Caenorhabditis elegans: one gene and its partners. The protein of the gene in region 1 purifies or fractionates together with the protein of each later gene. This does not show direct contact. Each region holds a gene or a part of one and is shown on either strand. Other genes may lie near its edges. The genes, in order: rmd-1, acp-6 and sams-4.

Region 1 (3,531 bases):
TCTGAATAGGACTTTTCTTGAGATTAAATTTATAATTTCAAAGATAAAATAGTATTTAAGAGCGCCAACAACGCATCTGATATTAAAAATAAATACATAATCCGAAAAACAAACCATACTCTGTTCATTAAAAGTAGTGAAGTCACACAATAAATCACCTATACATTGAAAGAATAATTATCACACACAAAAGAAACAAGAAATGGGCACCCGGTTGAGCATGCAATACATAATAAAAATAAAATTGTACAATCGAATATGTTATGAAAATCTGATAATTTCAAGTGGCAGCACCAGACCATCCCGAGAAGTATGAAGACCACGAGCCTGCCTGAGCGGTTGCCATATGTGCTGAAAAAAATAAATTCGAAAAAAAGTTGAACGATTAATCCGTAAGTATTTAGTAGTGGAGGTAGTAAATTCTATTTTGGAAAATTTTCGAAAATAAATAAATTTTTCTGAAACGCCGATTTAAAGGCGCACCGATTTATTAATGCCGATGGGTAACACCGCGATAAAAAAGTTTATGGTAGCAGCCCAATTTTTGATTTTTTGAGACTTATTTCCGAAAATTGAGAATTGTTTTACTTGTTTTTAAAGTTGTTTTCGTCTTCTCCACCTAAATAACGCCCAACTAGTAAAAACACTAAACCTTCGCGATGTTGAAATACTTTGAGAAGGCGGGACAATACTTTTGTTGATATTGTTCAATATTATTGCCTCTCTTCCGCCAGCCGTTGGCTATTGCAGAGAAATAGTTGTCCACCACAATCTCTTTCAGCGCTTTCTCTATTCCTCTTTTATCTGTTTTATAGCCTGCTCTGGGTGCTCTCACCTGATGCAGCTTTCAGAATTTCGACTTCTTTCGGTGACAAATGTAGAACTCTCTGCAGTACGATAACCAGCTGGTCTCGTTCTGCGGGAACACTTTCTGGCTTGAGAAACTGTACAAATACGTTCTTCAAATATTCCATATTTTTCTCGTTTGACAACTCGGCTTCTCGCTTTTCTTCTCGTTCCAGTCGGCGAATTTCATCTTTTAGCAGTGAATTCTAGAAATTTAAATATTGATTCTAAAACTTTTCCCAATTCTACCTGAGTTGTTAACCTTCCATTTGCAGTCTCGGCATCACTGAGAAGCTCTGCGACGTGATGATTTGTTTTCTTCAAATTCTCTAACTGGTCTAGAATGACCTTGAATTTCTCCTCCGATAGTTCATCTGATTCGACTCCTGCAAGTATTTCGAAATAAGTAACTTTTTAGAAAACAATCTTATTTATATAAAATATAAAACTAACTGTATTCATCACCGAGATCTCCATACAAAACATCCTCCAGTGACCGATCAGGCTGAAAAAAAAAACAGGTTTTTAAAAAGTAGTTTTCGTAGGAATGACGAACTTTCTGAGGCGCGTGGCACAATATTTTTTATATTATTTATCACTTTTTCTCAATGTTTCTCCAGAAAATTCGGTTTTGATCTCTGAATGTTCATTTTTGTTTTGTTGCGCGCGCGCGCGCGAGAAATTGACCCGCGTGTTTTTCCAAATTTGTCGAATATAAAAGAAGCGTTTTTCAGTCATTATCTTCTCGTCTGATATCTTTTATTCGACTACTTCTACTAACATCCCCAAAAATGGTGAGTTTTTTTTTGCTTTTCACTTCAACATTTCTTTAAAAACCGGCTAATTTTCACTGAAATCTCCCAATTTTTTCAACTTTTCCGCGCCGCTGTGACTTTTCCTTGATTATTGTTTTATTTTGGTGGTTTATCTCTTGTGATGACGTTTATTTCGATGTTTTAGGCCAGTAATGTGGCCTAAATAATCTAAATCAACGAAATAATATGAGATTAGATTCAATCTCCAACCGCAGCGACACGGAAAAGTTGCTAAAATTAAAGTTTTAGGTGAAATTTGTCACTTGTCGAATAGAATAATTTTTTTGAGTAATCTCATTACGAAATTTAGCACGTTTTTAATTCAAAACCTTCTTTTAATCGATTAATTTCAATTTCTTTTATTTTCAGGAATCCTTTGCCACCTCGGACAAACTCTTTGAAAGCCGCGAGTTCGTCAAAGGACTCGAGGAGCTGAAAAAGCGACGTGAAGATGGCGAGATGACTTGTGATCTTCTCTGGAGAATGTGCCGCTTCTGCCACGAACTTTCGACGACGATGAGCGGAGAGCAGCGACGAAAGATGCTGATCGAAGGACGCGACTACGGATTGGAAGCCATGGATCTTGATCCATCAAGCTTCCTTGCCGCTAAATGGACTGCCATCATGTTCGGACTTGTTGTCGATCAACTGCCAACTAAGGAGAAGATCAATGACGGTGGACGGCTCAAGGACATGCTCGACAAGGCTCTCGAATTGGATCCAACCGACTTTGCTCTTCTCCATCTTCGTGCTCGCTTCTCTTACACCATCGCGAACCTTTCATGGCTTGAAAGAAAAGTGAGTTTCTTATAATCTTTTGTCTTGAATTCTTCCGAATAACACTCTAATTTCCAGGCAGCTTCAATGCTCTACAGCGAAGTTCCAAAAGCAACGATCGACGACGCTCTCGTCGACTTCAAAGCCGCCTACAACCAAAACGCTGATTGGATCGAGAATTTGCTGTTCCTGTCGAAATGTCATCTTGCCAAGAAGGAGAAGCAGCAAGCACGTGAGATGCTGAACAAGGCGATCGTCTTACCTGCCGCTTCATCGAATGATGCTCAATTCGTCACGGAGTGCAAGTCTCTTCTCCAAAAATGCTAATTCGATCTATTTGACTACGGTTTCTTATTGATTCCTGCCCCCCTCTCTCCCCAATTAACTTCATATTTTGCATCAATGAATTTTTCTGTAAATAAAGAATTTTTACCTGTGTTGGCTCATCATAACAAGAAACAGAATCAGAAGGAGCAACTGCTGGTCTTTGATAATGAAGAGGTGGAATAGGATGTTCTGGAAGCTGAATCGGCTGAGGTACGACAGCTGCAATAGCTTTCTGCTGCTGGTGTTGATTGCTTTGAATTCGACGAGTTTCAAAGTCATTTCTCAACTCTTGTAATTCCTTTTCTAGACTGTGAATCTGCTTTGTTGCACTTGACAGCTTGCTTTTCAGACTTCCATTCTCATTTTCACTTCTTTGCCTCTCATTCTGCAGAAGATGATCTACTTTTTCCTTTGCGATCTCTATATCTTTAATCTTTTGTTCAGCAGTATCACGAGATGATCTCATTAATCTCAATTCTTCGTCCAATCTTTGAATCAACTTCGAAGAGCTCGACTGAAGTTCGTCAATTGCCGTAGTGTGAGCCTTTTCTGATTCGGTGAGTTCTGATTTGAGAACTTTTAGAGTTTTCTCAAGTCTTTCTGCTTTGTCACGTGAAGAAGCCAAATCTTCGACAGTTTTAAAATGCTCCTGCCTTGTCTGATCAGCTTGTTGTTCAAGTTCTGTGATAGTGACTTTTGATTTTTCGAGTTTTTCAATAGCTTTTCGTGTTTCGTCTTCCTGCTTTCCTTTTTTCTCGAGCACAAA
Region 2 (3,755 bases), on another chromosome or scaffold:
TTAATGAAATATATGTATATAGTTTTTAATCAACTAAAAGAAGACATGATTAAAAGAACAGATTCCTTTTAATGTTTTCATGGAACACAGGCACGTTTTCCTGCCTACATACATATGTGCCTACTACAATCTTCATCCCGTTTAGAGTGAACATTTCTGTTTGGACAAGGTAGATTTATTCAGATTTGAAGTACTATTCTTATTTTTAAAATTAAATCTTTAAAATTATTTCGTTAGAGATTAAACTGTGAGATGAAACTAATGGTTTACATGTTCTTGTGTATAGGCATGAGGCAGATGTAGGCTGCCTAGAAGAAATAATTTGTTTACTTGATTTTCAATATTTGTCAGTCGTTTCTAAACAACAGCCCTTCCCAATTTTAATACAATTATCCAATAATAAGTGTTTTTCATTAGCCCCTTTGTAATTTTAACCAAATTTTCTACAGTTTTCTACAGTAGTAATTCTTCCAATTAGCTTTTGGTGTAGCCCTTCCAGAAGGCACCAAAGATCCGAAAATTATGTTAGAGCCCTACGAACTCGCGAATGCCTCAATTAGCACAATGGAGCCATCGCGATAGGAACCCGGGAGGCATATATACTAGACAAATCCTACCGTATTCTCTGCAAACTTTACTTCAGCCTTCTGCTCATGAAGTCTCAAAAATTCTGTCTAATTGAAATTCAAATTGCCACGGCGCAATTCACGGTCATTTGAACTCACCTTGAACTCTCGCAGATTCTCGGAGAAAAACCGGAACTAAAGTTTTCTCGCGATCTTTGTGGTTTTGTGAAACAGAGAAAAAAAGAGTAATTGGTGTATTCAATTGGAAGAAATTGAATTGAAGATGAGATGGTGAAACATGGAGTTTTTGAGTTCAAATAAACAATTGATCTTCTTCATGTTTGTCTGTTTTCTATGTGTTTTGTGTATTTCATCTTTTTCTTTCATTCATTTAAAATTGTCTCATTTTCAATTCATTTCTCCCTTCCATGACAATTTCGAGGCCAAATTGAATTGAAGTTTGGTCGTACCTAACAGAGTATAAAAGAATGGCACAAAATGTTGAGAACGTACATCCAAACATCCTTTCTGTTTGTGATCTATATTTTTATCATGATATTTTGGTATTGTCACGTCTGGTCTCTTGTCACGGCCTTGAGAAATCCTTTAATGACAAGATCGTACTAGGTAGCATGTGATTTAGATTTACAGTACTCAAGTATTGCTATCCTAGGTACATAGATAGAAAAGTTAAAAGAATTATTTTTTGTAACTTGAAAAAAGGTAATTTTAAGATAAAGTTAGCATCTAGTGCTCGATCGGTTTCAGGATAGAAGTAAAATTTTGAAATTTTCTGTTAGTAACAGTTTCCAAAATGTGCCATGGATGCATGTTAAAGTAATTATTTTACAGCTTGAATTTAAAAATAGTGACTGATTTGTAGGCCCACTTCTATCGCGCCTGCCTTGTGCCTTTCAGTTGAACCTGACGAATACCAAAGTTGTACGGCAAGGGTTCGCAGATCATTGAGCACGCGGGAAGGTACGAGGCCGGCGCAGGCTTCTGAACTAACGTGATATTTCATTTGAGATTTTTTTAATAAAATTATTAGTTCCGTGTTTAATGGTTTCTCTATTAGACCAACAACTAACGGTTTTTTGTTCATTCTGTTTCAATGAAACGGTAACAAAACACCTGAAGATACTTTTTATTTCAAATCGGGTCATATCTTCTTTTAATTCAATTTTATTGAATTGTGTTCTGTCGTGTTATCTTATCAGTTTGTTATCGTTTCAAACAAAACAAAAACAGTATATAAACGCCGGGTAAGATGGAAGTTCACTGGCAATTCAGTGTTCTTGTGTAATTAACTGATTACCAGAATTTTAAATTTGTCTAGAAAAGCTCTCAGAATATGTATTTTTCAACCTGAATCTATCATTCTACAATCTCCTACCTTTTAGTCTAAACAGTAAATGCCTTCTTGCGGACCTGCAACGTTTGTGGAATAGGCATGTAGGTAGTCTAGTCATGAGAAGCTTTATCAGTTTTCATACTTCTTGGTTTGCTCTCATTAAAAAGTGATATGTTTCTTCAACTTTACCGTTGTATTTTACGCCACCTCAGACAAAGAAATTATATTTTCAGGTATGAACCTTCTACTATTTTCTGCCTTGATCTTGGCTACTTCAGCCGCCCATCTTCTCCCAAAGAAGTCTGTTGCAATTGATAAGAACTCGGTTCTTGTGCTGTTCGGAACTCGTCACGGAAACCGTCATCCAGAAGTTTTTCTCCAAGAGAATCCAAGAAGCTGGGGACATGAGGGAAATACTGAATTGACTTCAGTAAGTATTAATTATTGGAGTTTCTAAATGAAATCTAGTAATATTTCAGTTCGGAAAGCGTCAAGGACTTGGATTGGGAAAGGAATTGAGAAGCTTTATTGGAAATTTGATCTCTCGTAACTACAACTCATCTCAAGTTAAATATTACTCCAGTTCTGCCAACAGATGCCAAATGACTCTTCAGGTATGTGGCGAATTCCGAATTCAAAGTAAAATAATCAAAATTTATCTAACTATAAGTTGCCACATTGAAACAGTAAATTTTTAGACTGTCACTGCTGCTCTCCACGATCCAGAACAATGGGGGGATTGGGATAAGAAATGGTACGATCATTGGTCTCCAGTCCCATATGCCATTGATGATCCACTTCTTAGAATGTACGCTGTTAAGGAATGCAAAGGAAATGATAAGGGTACGGTTGTACTTGTATAATGTGAACATATAAATCCTGATTTTACAGTCTGGGGCCCAATCGACAAGGATTCCCTTCCATTCCTCAAGAAGCTCAAGACAAGCAACGCAGCTGAGCTCAAATACTTCTCTGACAACACCAAATGGAACATGGAGAATCTGGGAAAAGCTGCTGATTTGGCCGATAATCTCATTGAAATTGATCTCTACAAGGCTGAATATCCATCATGGATTAAGGCTCCAAAGTTGAAAGGATACACTTTCGAGAAGCTGAAGGCTAAGATTCTGGAATTTGCTGAAGTTCATCAGAACGCTTGTGCAGAGTACGGACCATGCGGAAACTTGATGGCTGGATATTGGCTTCAGAATTTGATTGATAAGGTTGCTGATGCTAACGCTGGAAAGGGACCACAAGTTATTGGATACGCTTCTGTAAGTTATTTACAACCTGTCAATATTAATGTGAAACCTCTATTTCCTGTGAAAAAATTATACAAATTTCAAATTCCAGCACACCGAAATCACTCTTTCCGTCATGAAATTGATGGGATACGTGAAGGATGAACTGACCACCTCCGCTGGATTCGTAGTTGAATTTAAACGTCTTCCAAAACCAGCTGTCCGTCTTCTCAACCATGATCCTAACCCAATCGATGATCATGTCATCTATCCAGCTGAACTTACTCCAAAACTTAAGAAATTGGCTGACAAGGATGGATTCATTCCATTGGAACAATTCTTCGCCTATGCAAAACAATTCGTAAGTTGGAAAAATAGGTTAGATTATTGTAACAAATTAACATTTTCAGTCCTTCTCCGATTGGAAGTCTCAATGCGACAAGGCTTAGATTCTTTGCATGAATTTATAATAATCGTTTGATTCGCTTCGTATGTACTAATGTAGTTACTTTTTAATAAATAATTCGAAAGTAATCAATGAAAATTGCAAAATAACGGAGAATGGGTTACTGTGCTCATTAAAGGGGTATACCT
Region 3 (3,755 bases), on another chromosome or scaffold:
CTAGAATTTAACAGCTGTCTCACGGATGGCGATAAATGTTCTAGATTAGATCTGTTTCGCTAATTAGAAACTGGAAATATCTGAAAGCTTTCCCCTATCATGAATAGATCGAAATAATCGAGATATGAGATTCCTAGATATCGGAATTAACAAGAAAAGTTACGGAAAAATATCGAATATCGTATTAATTGTTTTTTCTGCTTGATTAGGTTTAAAAAGGCTTTAAAATCCGTTTTTTTCAGTGAAAAATCACTGTTCTATTTGAGATATAATTTATTTTTCTATTTAACCCACGTGTTTGTTAAATACGATTAAACATTTTGGAAGTAGTTTCATCATTCTTACAGTTTCTCGATAATTGAGCAAAACACCATGACAAAAAGCAAGTGAGACTACAAACTTAAAAGTACAAGGCCAATTCTTATTTACCAAGTTGCTATTTGTTCTAAATTAGAACCTGTTTTCTTGATTCCTTTGCTTTTTAAAGTTTACATTACTGATAATGGCTACTATAATCCGTTCCTAAAGTCTAGAGTATTTGCTTTTTTCATGTTGTGGAAACTGAGCTTCTGCGCTTTTACAAAAGGGCAAAGTCTATTGATTTTCTGCAAATTGAATAGTTTCATGATCATATATCCATTAGCACAATTACACTGTTAGAGGAAATAAAAACAAATATGAATTTGAGGAGAGCGATGAAAATCGTATGATCAAACATAAAAAAGTATGTCAAAGTTTTGCAATAACTTTGTTCAGGCCGATTTTGCCCTCTCGACAGCTTTTTTTCTTGCAAACGATGTTCTGCACAATAGTATAGGCTGGGAATGATCTTGTTGCAATAATAATACTTTTAAAAAGAATTGAGTAAAAACGTGATAACATAGTGAACTCGGCTATATCCACACGTGAAAACGTGAAATTTTATCAAAATTTCTCGGAGTGCATAACATTAAAAAAAACATTGACCGTTTCATCGTCGAAGAGTGTAAGTGAGTTGTCTTTATCTGCTGAAGCTTTCAATAAGGTTCAGCGAGACTTCAATTCCGAAGATTTTTTGTCCGTGTTCCCGGTTCATCTGTACAATCTTCGAACGCATATTTCGAAAGTTTTAGACATTTATTTTTCTAGATTGTAAACGTCGCCTGTCTTGTTCTCTAAGACTTTTATATATTTTTCCTTATCTCGATTTATGTTCTTCAAAAATATGACAGTAAAACTTCCTCAGTGTTCTTATTTCTAAACATCGTATATTTATATAAATATTATTGTGGTGTTTCAAATAACACGTGTTTCATAATTCCTCATCCTTAGATAACGGTTTGCCCTTAGAATTGTTTTGATCCTTCTTTTTTCGAAAATTCTCGCTCCCTTTTTCTCTAAATCTCTGTAGTTTTCTGATGATCTAGGTTCAACCTTCATGGTATAAAAGTAGAGCTTTCCGGGCTAATATTCACACTTGTCTCGCAAAAAAATTGTGTTTTATTGCAATCTAAAAAACGCCCTCAAAACTATACTTTAGAGCAACGTGTTTCCAACAAGACGCAGAGTATTGTGTCTCTCTTTGTTGCGTGGCGCTCCGCCCTCTATTCAACCCACCTCCGCTTCCTCGCTTTCCTTTATTTATTTGAGCTAAATATCATCGCTCTTTCAGACGGACGCTTTCAAACATCCATCAACGAAATAAAATGCCGCAACACAAGTTCCTTTTCACCTCCGAATCTGTCTCCGAGGGGCATCCCGACAAGATGTGTGACCAAGTAAGTTATATTTGATAAGAAATCGTCTTTTCCAGATAAACAAATCCATCAAATTTTTTGATTGGAAATACGCTACTGTTGAAAAAAAAAATCTGTCAAGTTCGTAAAAAGTTAGTTATGGGACAAAATGTGTATAGTTTCAAACAAAACGTTATCTCCGAAGCGTAGAAAATTGGCCCACGTGCTCGAAAGCAGCTGTCTATCATTCTCATGTTTGTTTTTCAGATCTCGGACGCTGTTCTTGACGCTCATCTGGCTCAAGACCCTCACGCTAAGGTTGCTTGTGGTGAGTGATTCAGGACTTTTGGATATCCTCCAACGAAATGTCAACAACAACATGGAGCTGCGATGAGCAAAAGTCCCAATTATTATCCGTACAACATTCAGAGATTCGGCGATATGGAAGACAGGCGGTCAGATTCAATACACTCGCGTCGTGTTAACCTCAGAATTAACATGATATTGATATTTGTGTTGTGAATTTGATTTGCAGAAGGATCAACAGTGAACTCGTACCTATCACTGTGGTTCTTTTGCATTTCGCCTATTCATGTCTCTGATTTCAGGCTCTACGGGTGTTGGATGATGCGGGAAACGGGGCTGAAGCTTATCGCAACAATATGTTTCTTTACCTGTTACAACGGTTACTTTGATTACAGAAACGGTGACTAAAACGGGTATGATCATGTTGTGCGGTGAGATCACCTCGAAAGCTGTCGTCGACTACCAGGTTCTCGTCCGAAACGTCATTAAGAAAATTGGATACGATGATTCCTCGAAAGGTATGAAGAATATAATTTCGTTTCTACACTATTGGCTCATCACATTGTGTCAGGAATCTCATTTTCTTGGTTTATTGATTAAATACAGTATTCATTTTCAGGATTCGATTACAAGACATGCAATGTTCTTGTTGCACTCGAACAACAATCACCTGAAATCGCTGCTGGAGTCCACGTGGACAAGGATAGTGACGATGTCGGAGCCGGAGATCAAGGAATTATGTTTGGATATGCTACTGATGAAACCGAAGAAGCGATGCCATTGACTCTTCTCTTGTCTCACAAGCTGAACCGGAAGCTTCACGAGCTCCGTAGATCTGGAGAGCTCGAATGGGTTCGTCCGGACTCGAAGACCCAAGTCACAATCGAATATGCTTCGGAAGGAGGAGCATGTGTCCCACTACGCGTCCACACTGTTGTTATCTCCACCCAACATTCTCCAGATATCAGTCTCGATGATTTGAGAAAGGAACTCATCGAAAAGGTAATTAAAAATATTAATAAAAATACAGCTATATTTATTGTTCGGTTTTAGGTTATCAAAGCTGTAATTCCTGCCAATCTCATCGACGACAAGACCATCTATCATCTCAATCCATGTGGATCATTCATTATTGGAGGACCAATGGGAGATGCTGGACTTACTGGACGTAAGATCATCGTTGATACCTACGGAGGATGGGGAGCTCACGGAGGAGGTGCTTTCTCTGGAAAGGACCCAACCAAAGTCGATCGTTCTGCCGCATATGCTGCTCGTTGGGTTGCCAAGTCACTTGTCAAAGCTGGACTTTGCCGTCGTTGCCTTGTTCAAGTTTCATACGCCATCGGAGTTGCTAAGCCTCTTTCTGTGATGGTCTTTTCATTTGGAACTTCTGCTCTCAGCGAGGAGGATTTATTGACCATTGTGAATGATAACTTCGATCTGAGACCGGGAAAGATTATCAAGTAAGCGTTTTTTTTTATGTTTCACTATTTTTACTGTTTTCAGGAATCTTGACTTGAAGAGACCAATTTACGAGCCAACTGCTGAAAACGGACACTTTGGACACAATAATTTCCCATGGGAGCAGCCTCGAAACCTCAAAATCAGTGCAGATATGCTCGCCAAATCACAAGGACCAGCTCAACCTGACGTAATTGGAATTGCCCATTAAAATTCTGAGATTATTGTAATAATCAACTTGATAAAAGTGCTTGTAAGCCTTCTAGTAATCAC

The links.
Region 2: the proteins of rmd-1 (region 1) and acp-6 fractionate together in Caenorhabditis elegans (co-fractionation; one large-scale study listed by BioGRID). This does not show direct contact.
Region 3: the proteins of rmd-1 (region 1) and sams-4 fractionate together in Caenorhabditis elegans (co-fractionation; one large-scale study listed by BioGRID). This does not show direct contact.

Annotation. Positions count from the first base shown.
Region 1 is NC_003281.10:9,757,514-9,761,044, forward strand, and holds rmd-1 (Regulator of microtubule dynamics protein 1), read left to right. Parts: upstream 1-1,580; 5' UTR 1,581-1,637; coding exon 1,638-1,640; intron 1,641-2,030; coding exon 2,031-2,459; intron 2,460-2,516; coding exon 2,517-2,765; 3' UTR 2,766-2,871; downstream 2,872-3,531. Other genes in the region: vps-53 (Vacuolar protein sorting-associated protein 53 homolog), read right to left, coding at 1-1; gcc-2 (GRIP and coiled-coil domain-containing protein 2), read right to left, coding at 281-351, 836-1,052, 1,096-1,232, 1,300-1,351, 2,872-3,531. UniProt on the Caenorhabditis elegans protein: Acts in chromosome segregation and organization during mitosis.
Region 2 is NC_003282.8:6,424,538-6,428,292, reverse strand, and holds acp-6 (Histidine phosphatase family protein), read left to right. Parts: upstream 1-2,153; 5' UTR 2,154-2,155; coding exon 2,156-2,350; intron 2,351-2,399; coding exon 2,400-2,534; exon of another isoform or gene 2,535-2,604; intron 2,605-2,618; coding exon 2,619-2,763; intron 2,764-2,811; coding exon 2,812-3,194; intron 3,195-3,273; coding exon 3,274-3,522; intron 3,523-3,571; coding exon 3,572-3,610; 3' UTR 3,611-3,693; downstream 3,694-3,755.
Region 3 is NC_003282.8:5,844,266-5,848,020, reverse strand, and holds the start of sams-4 (putative S-adenosylmethionine synthase 4), read left to right. Parts: upstream 1-1,651; 5' UTR 1,652-1,685; coding exon 1,686-1,757; intron 1,758-1,982; coding exon 1,983-2,043; exon of another isoform or gene 2,044-2,416; coding exon 2,417-2,539; intron 2,540-2,640; coding exon 2,641-3,023; intron 3,024-3,074; coding exon 3,075-3,484; intron 3,485-3,527; coding exon 3,528-3,693; 3' UTR 3,694-3,755. UniProt on the Caenorhabditis elegans protein: Catalyzes the formation of S-adenosylmethionine from methionine and ATP. The reaction comprises two steps that are both catalyzed by the same enzyme: formation of S-adenosylmethionine (AdoMet) and triphosphate, and subsequent hydrolysis of the triphosphate.